Astyanax mexicanus: one gene and its partner. The protein of the gene in region 1 interacts with the protein of each later gene in a pairwise test. Links are inferred from orthologs where the notes say so. Each region holds a gene or a part of one and is shown on either strand. Other genes may lie near its edges.

What was found.
Region 2: the proteins of usp47 (region 1) and ap4m1 interact in binary tests that used the Homo sapiens proteins (3 or more experiments, as listed by UniProt). The two-hybrid records come from large-scale screens. The link is inferred for Astyanax mexicanus from reciprocal best matches to the Homo sapiens genes USP47 and AP4M1.

Annotation. Positions count from the first base shown.
Region 1 is NC_064423.1:34,873,982-34,877,905, reverse strand, and holds the start of usp47 (ubiquitin carboxyl-terminal hydrolase 47), read right to left. Parts: upstream 2,660-3,924; 5' UTR 2,443-2,659; coding exon 2,398-2,442; intron 1-2,397. UniProt on the Homo sapiens protein: Ubiquitin-specific protease that specifically deubiquitinates monoubiquitinated DNA polymerase beta (POLB), stabilizing POLB thereby playing a role in base-excision repair (BER). Acts as a regulator of cell growth and genome integrity.
Region 2 is NC_064427.1:10,825,768-10,829,691, reverse strand, and holds the start of ap4m1 (AP-4 complex subunit mu-1), read right to left. Parts: upstream 2,680-3,924; 5' UTR 2,434-2,679; coding exon 2,376-2,433; intron 1,356-2,375; coding exon 1,270-1,355; intron 423-1,269; coding exon 316-422; intron 198-315; coding exon 101-197; intron 1-100. UniProt on the Homo sapiens protein: Component of the adaptor protein complex 4 (AP-4). Adaptor protein complexes are vesicle coat components involved both in vesicle formation and cargo selection. They control the vesicular transport of proteins in different trafficking pathways.

The DNA of each region.
Region 1 (3,924 bases):
AATATAGTATAACAGTATAATAGCATAATCATAATGTGGCAAAATAAACAATATAGCATAAAATAATATAATGCAGCAGATAATATTGCAGAATATTTAGTGCATGCATATAAACTGCAAACTGAAAAAATTATACAATAAATACACCTAAAGCTTCACAGTGAATAACAGACTACTTTTAAGACAGAACAGCCCTATTATCACGATATGGATTTTTAATATCATGATATTTCTGTGTCACGATATATTGTATACGATATAATATTGCCCACCCCTACTAGAAATATCTAGAAAAACAGACCTGTAGATTTAAATAGCTAGTAAACATTTGTAAGCTGTGAAATCAGAGTTTCTGACAGTCAAACTGCATCACAAATACTGAGTTTGAGTTTTCATTAAGTAAAACCTAGTGTCAGACTAATTAACATAGAAAATATGATATTGAGTCTGATATAAACACTTAAGTTTTACCTCAAAACAGAAGCTAGCTTGGAAGCTAACAAGCTAATCTATGTTTGCTGCAGAGCAGCCAACCAGCTCCGTAGTGCGTTAGCTAGCTAGCGTTAGCGCATAAAAACATTTTAAAGCTACTTTAACAGAAAAATAGTCTTACAACTTAAACTGTAACGTTACAGAAATAGACCTGGATTCACCACCACTGTTCCTCACATATTTAGCTGGTTAGTTTGTTATTTGGATTATTCCGTTTTTCAAAAAGCTAGCCAGCTAGCTAGCTAGTTATGATCTTAGCGAGGAAGTCTGCTAGCTAGCGTTTGCTTAGCTAGAGGATAAAGGCTGTGTTCCAAATGACAATTGTACTGCTAGCCAGGTTGTTAAATGTTGTACTCTTCTTTTAGGTAGCAGACACAGCAAACCAGCTACTATTTAGCTACGCTAGCTAGCTTCCTAGAGGAAGAAGGCTGTGTTCCAAATGACAACTGTGCTGCTACTACACTAGCTTCATATGCAATGAACACACTTAGTTAGCTAAAACAAATAGTTGTGCACTACTTTTAGCTAAAATACAACTCTGGAAAAAATGAAGAGACCACCTCACTTTCTGAATCAGTTTCTCTGATTTTGTATATGTTTGAGTAAAATTGTTGGTATTTTATTTTATAAAGTGGGGATAACATTTTTCCCAAATTCTAAATAAATATTCATATTCATAAAGTTTGAAGAGTCAATATGTGTGATGAGTTTTAATCATAGTTTCCATGCATATTGGTATGTTCTACTCCACCAGTCTTCCACACTGCTTTTGGATAACTACACCAAGCAGTTCAGCTTCGTTTAATGGCTTGTGATGATCAATCTTCCTCTTGATTACATCCCAAAGGTTTTCAATTTGGTAAAATCAAAGAAACTCACTTTTTTTAACTGGTCTCTTTTTTTATTTTTTAAATGTAGCTAGCTACTAGTTCCACTAGCTAGAACACAACTGTAAACAATGTTGCTGGCTACAATGTGTGTGAATTACTTGCAGACATAGTTAGTTAAAGACATGTTTGCTAGCTAGTGCGGTAGTGTACAGTTTGACAGAGCCCAAGGCTCACATTTAGTTGCTAACTAACAATAGCTAAACTAGCGTTAACACTCCAAACCACTAAACAGCTGGCAGAACTTTAGCTGGCATAGATAACTAGCTAGATACTATTTATTTAGCTAGTTTGATAGTTAGCTAGTGTGGTAGTGTACAGTTTGTTACACAGCCCAAGGCTCACACTTAGTTGCTAGCCAACACTAGCTAAGCTAGCGTAACACTCCAAGCCACCAAATAGCTGTGTAGCACTTTAGCTAACGTAGCTAATTAGCTAGCTACTGTTTATTTAGTTAGTTTGCTAGCTAGAGTGGTAGTGTACAGTTTGTGACACAGCCCATGGCTCACATTTAGTCGCTAACATTAGCTAAGCTAAGCCTCAAAGCCACATAGCAACTGTAAAGCACTTTTGTAAACATAGCTATGCTAACTAGCTACTATTTATGTAACTAGTAGTGTACAGTCACATTTAGCTGCTAAGCTAAAGCTAGGCTAACACTTGAAGCCACATAACAGCTATGAACTACTTTAGCTAACATAGCTAGGATAACTAGCTAGCCATCCACTATTTATTTAGCTAGCTTGCTATCTAGATAGCTAGCTAGCTAGTGTGGTAGTGTACAGTTTGAGATACGGCCCAGTGCTCGCACTTAGCCGCTAACGTTAGCTACAGCTAGCTGTTAGCTGACAACCCATCACTTTCGTGTATTTTCCACCGTTTAGCCCACAGACATCCAGGCAGCCAGACGCCGCGGAGGTTCAGTAATACAGCGGGGTGCTGTGCGGGCAAAAGTCGGGCCTGTCAGTGCAGAGCCCGGCCCCCTGTCCCTCTCTCTCCCGGGGAGAGGTTCTCTCACCTCTTTAGGTACAAGCTGCTTCTCCTCGCTGGGCACCATTTCCATCTGGGCGACTGTTATCTACGCGCTCATCCACCCGGGCTCTGGGGTCAACAGCAGCTCTCCGCGGCGCTGTGGCTGAGCATTATCCGCGCTCCGGCTGAGCTCCGGGTCGCTGTGGAAGCTGAGCCGCGGCGCTGTAAACTTGTTATGGAAGTAATCGCAGATACTTTCTTTCTGAGCTGCGACCACAAACTGCAATCAATGGGGGTAAAAATGGCCGCCTCCCAGTTTCGCGAGATTTCAGCCCAGGCCCTGCGTCACTTCCCAAACACTCGCGCTGATCATTTAATCACAACAACAACAACAATAATATAACTACTAGTGCTGTATCTCAAAAACTAGAATATCACTGGAAAGTTACTTTATTTCAGTAATTCAGTGCATTAGAAAATTAGAATATTATATAAGACCAATTAGTACTTTTAGCATTGTGGGCAGTGTGCCAAGTCCTGCTGGAAAATGAAATCCACATCTTCATAAAAGATGTAAGATGCACTGACTTTGGACTTGATATAACACAGTGGATCAACACCAGCAGATGACATGTCTTTCCAAACCAGCACTGACCATCAGTACATTTTGCATTTCATTTGGAAAACAAGTGACCAGAGTCTGGAGGAAGAGTGGAGAGACACACAGTTCAAGCTGCTTGAGGTCTAGTGTGAAGTTTTCACAATCAGTGATGGTTTGGAGAGACATGTCATCTGCTGGTGTTGATCCACTGTGTTCTATCAAGTCCATCTTGATAAATCTTACAGCACTTTGCAAAATTACCAATTGGTCTTATATTCTAATTGAGGAAATAGAATTCAAGCAAATTCTTACATTTTGGGAGTAATTGAATAAACAGAAAACAGTTTATTAAATATAGGAAACAATTACTCAAATTGAATTTTTTTTTTTAAATAAGGAAACAAATTGTTAAACTGGGAACAACCTAATTCGTAGAAACTTAGTGAACCATTTATGAAATTAAATGAAAAATTAATGAAATTATTCATAAAGGGACAGTTTGTTAAACTGTGGAAACAACCTACTAAATTGAGAAAACAACTTTTTAGTTAAGGGACCAATTAGTGAAATTGGAAAAATTAGGGAACATTAGGGAACAACGATGAATTGAATTGGGGGAACAACATTAAATCAAGGAAAAATTAAACATTAAACAAATATACTAAACAAAGGGAACAATTTATTAAATGAGGTGAAAAAGCTATTAAATTAAAGGAACAGTTATTGAATTTTATTAAACACATTATTATCACTTTATTAAATTGAGGAAACAATATATTATATTTAGGGGGAAAGGTTAAATTGAGAAAATTATTTATTAAATTAAGGAGACAAATTATTAAACTGAAGGAAGAATGCATTAAACTGAAGGAACTCGGGGAATGGATTTCAAAATAAATATAAGTACATACTACTAATGCCCCTCATAAAAAAACAGCATTCACCTAATGCTCATACTCTACACTTTTTGCA
Region 2 (3,924 bases), on another chromosome or scaffold:
AAAATTAAGCAAATTTACCAACTTTTCTTTATATTATGTATTCATTTGGTCACTGTGTAATCCAAATATTTTAAAATGAATGAAAGGCATATGTACTTACCACCATCTCATCCAGGAGCTCGTAAATAAGGGCAAAGTTCATCCGCACAGATTTCTCACACAGACTGCCACAGTAGTCTTTAGTTAGAGCTGCAAGCCTGCAAAACATTCAAAAACATTAGCTTCATCCTCAAGAAATGCAAGGTGACTTTACACAACACCAAAAAAAACCCCGCATATTTTAATGAAAAAGTGGCAAGTGACAACGCTGTTTACCTGTTGAGAAACTCTATGATGGTGAACGGAGAGGCGTCAGTCTTTGTAGATGCTACCCAGTAAAGTCCACCTTGTCTGACATGAATGAAGTTTAGATCTTTATGACTCTGTAAAACCAAAATAAGAAGGTAATTCTTTAGCCACAATTAATTTGATCTTTATTACAGTAGTTACTATAGTTTGTGGCTTCTGGTTTGAGGATTTTCTCTGGCCAGTCGGCGCTCTGCAATCTATACATGTTACATAATGAATCACATGAAACAGATACTGAAAAAGTACCCAGTTTTAAGTACTAGGTACCAAATTTGCAATATTTTCATATAGAAAAATTTAACATCTTAGTAGAGTCGAGTCGCATACATAGTAGAGTCGATGACAGAACAGGCTCCTTGATGACAGAACAGGCTCCTGATGACAGAACAGGCTCCTTCCTACCTGCACTCGCTCCTGAAGGCTTACGCTACCTCCCGGCCGCTGCGCTCCTCCAGTGAACGTCGCCTCGCTTTGCCAAAAACTCACACAAAGCAATCCAGACTGTTCTCATACAGAGTTCCCCAATGGTGGAACAAACTACCTTCCACTACCAGATCAGGAGAATCTCTCGCTATCTTTAAGAAACTCCTGAAGACAGAACTCTTCAAAGAGCACTTACTCTCTTAACACCTCTAACACACTAACTACTTCTAACCTCATTTCCTTCTTCCTCTCCTTCACTCCTCTATCCTATTACTCCCCTTGTCCTCCTTTTATCCCTATCCAAAGATGTTTTACCTTGAAACTTATTTTACATTGTACTTGACTATTGTAAGTCGCTTTGGACAAAAGCGTCTGCCAAATGTAATGTAATGTAATGTAATGTAATGCATACCATAAGTACATGCAGTCAACATGCACCTATGTTAAACATGCCTAAAGTACAAACCCAAAAAAGTTAAATAATTCTGAACATATTACCATCACCACAGGAGGCTGGTCTCCACTCAGTGCCGTAACCATTTCATAAAAAATGCTGACAGCATCTTTGTCAGCTTCCCCACGATCTGTAATAGTGTTAAGCAAAATGCAAACAAGCACACAGGAACAGAGATAGAACCTAAACACTAAAACCCCATTTAGTGGCAGCTATACTGCCATAACCTGCTGTTAGGTATACTAGCTGGACATAAGTATTTAAACAGCTGCTCATTTATTGTTTCTTTCTAAATCAAGGGCATTCAAACAGAGTTTATCCTGGTTTTGTTGGAATAAGTCTCTCTAGGGTTTGCTTTCTTCTAGATTGTGGAACATTGCTGTGAAGATCTGACTGGATTCAGCAACAGATCAGGATGTTTTTGTTTTCTTTTATCTGAGTCCCATATACATTTAGCATTAATTCTTTACAAGAATATTGTGTATTTACATCTGAAATACTGTATTATTAGTATATTTTTTCAACTCATTCCTGCATACATTCTTTAGCAATGCTTACATAAATATATACATACCGTTAAGTGTCTGCAGTCCAACAGTATGTACATTATTCTGTTTTTTTTTTTGGTGGGCATTTAAATGACAAATGCCACTACATAGGCTTGTAAACTGTTAAATCACCTGCTAATGTCATACAATACAAATTTAGTTTATTGTGAAAAGTACCTAAGCAACAAACACCCTCTGGTGTCATTACAGCTACAAGATTCTGCATTATCTGATAGTAATACTGGTCCATTTTTTATTGAAATCACGGGATACAGTCCATGCAAAAGCAATGATAGCAGATAAAAAAGAACATTTTACAGTTACAGTATTACTGTATCTAGTCCTCTAGACAGATAGGTAAACTGACAGACATAGTTAGATTAATATACGGACAGACAGGCATAGAGACAGTCAATGTTTTAAACCTAGGCGTTTTATTTACAAGTATTACTATTAATATGAGCTGCATATTACAAAACCCAGGGGTTTAAGTTACATACTTCACGTTCAGTATAAACTGAACCTTTACAATCCTACCTTTACATGTTTAACTTAATCATACAGTACTTTAGAGAGTTCTGTGGATCAGTAATGAAGGATACAGTCTTTGTAAATGAGATGGTCTCCTTTAGAGGATAAAATAAACACTTGAGAAATCATTTTCCGAAATAGAAAACAGAATCAATGTATGGCTAAGATTACGCGCATAGATGTGCAGCAGGTCACCACTGAAGTTCCATATTACAGAACCGCGAGCAACATTTATCTATAACTTATTCAAACATAGATATTACTCATAACTGCAGCTGTTAAATTATATAAAATTAAATATCTAGCTGTGAACACTAACCTAGCACTGTAAACAACCGGCTGCTCTTTTCCGGACGGCCAGTTGAAAATTAATCATTAGCGCCGCCTGATGGCCAGGAGGAGAAACTCACACACGCGGGTCTGCACCAGAGACAGAACAGCTCAGATATGAGAGATGTGAGGTAGAGTTTATCAGCCAGAAACCTCTCAAATTCAGTAAAATTCAATTAATCGTCTCATGTCCATCTCTCTATGGTTGAGGATTACTTTAAATATAAATAAGATAAATTTCAAATTAATGATTAGGCCTACCTAAATATGCAAGTGTATCATAATCTAAAGTATTACTATATAAGTAACATTTTTGTTTGGAAATTTAAATTGGTTGATTACTGGCTGTTTAAAACCACACATTCAAATAGAGACTTTAGATTTAAATTCAAATGAAATCACCCTGTGTCTACAACACACCAAACAATCTCATCTCTGCTGAAAGAATACTTTATCTTTAAAATGGGAACGTCAATGGGTAAAAAAACATTTAATTGTCAAATGTAAAGTAAATTTTTTTTTCTACAGTTTAAAGTCATTCAGACTATGGAGGAACACATAAGGAATCACATAGTAAAGTGGTAAACAAACCAAATTTTCTTTTAGATTTGAGTATACTGGTTTGAGTAGAGCAGGCACCTACTAAGTGCAAAACAGACAAGATGGCATGTTGGTGCAGAATGTTGTGATAGCCATGCAGGTTCTGATGAGAGCCACCTGCATGGTCCTGATGAGAGCCAGTTTTATTATAAAGTTCAATTGTCTTTGCGACTGCACTTGAGAATAATTTCAAAATTCTTAAAAAAATCTGATTGACCCTTTCTTGTCTGACTTTCAGTTCTTGAAGTAATTGTAGAGTGTAGTTTTCTTTACTTAGTTGAGCAGTTCTTGCCATACTATGGATTAGAACATTCACTGTATACCAACTCTACTTCTGATGGTCTTAAACACACTAAGGGCAAGCAAGTAGTTAACTCTTGACAAAGCACAGCTGTTAACTGAAAGCCATTCGAGGTAATTAACTCAAAAAGCTCACTAAGAAAATGCCAAGATATCCAAAGCTGTCATCTAAGCTCCCTACGGTGCCTACTAAAAAAAACATACTCTTTTATTACATTTTTTTTTCTAAATAATTCCATATATACCTCATAGTTTGGACGACTTTAAGATTAATCTACAAGTTCAAACTACAACAAGAGAATATGTGTCCAAACTATATTGTTTGGGTACTATATATTGTCCCATTGACAATATAACCTTTTCAAAATTGTTGCTGAAACAAAAAAATTT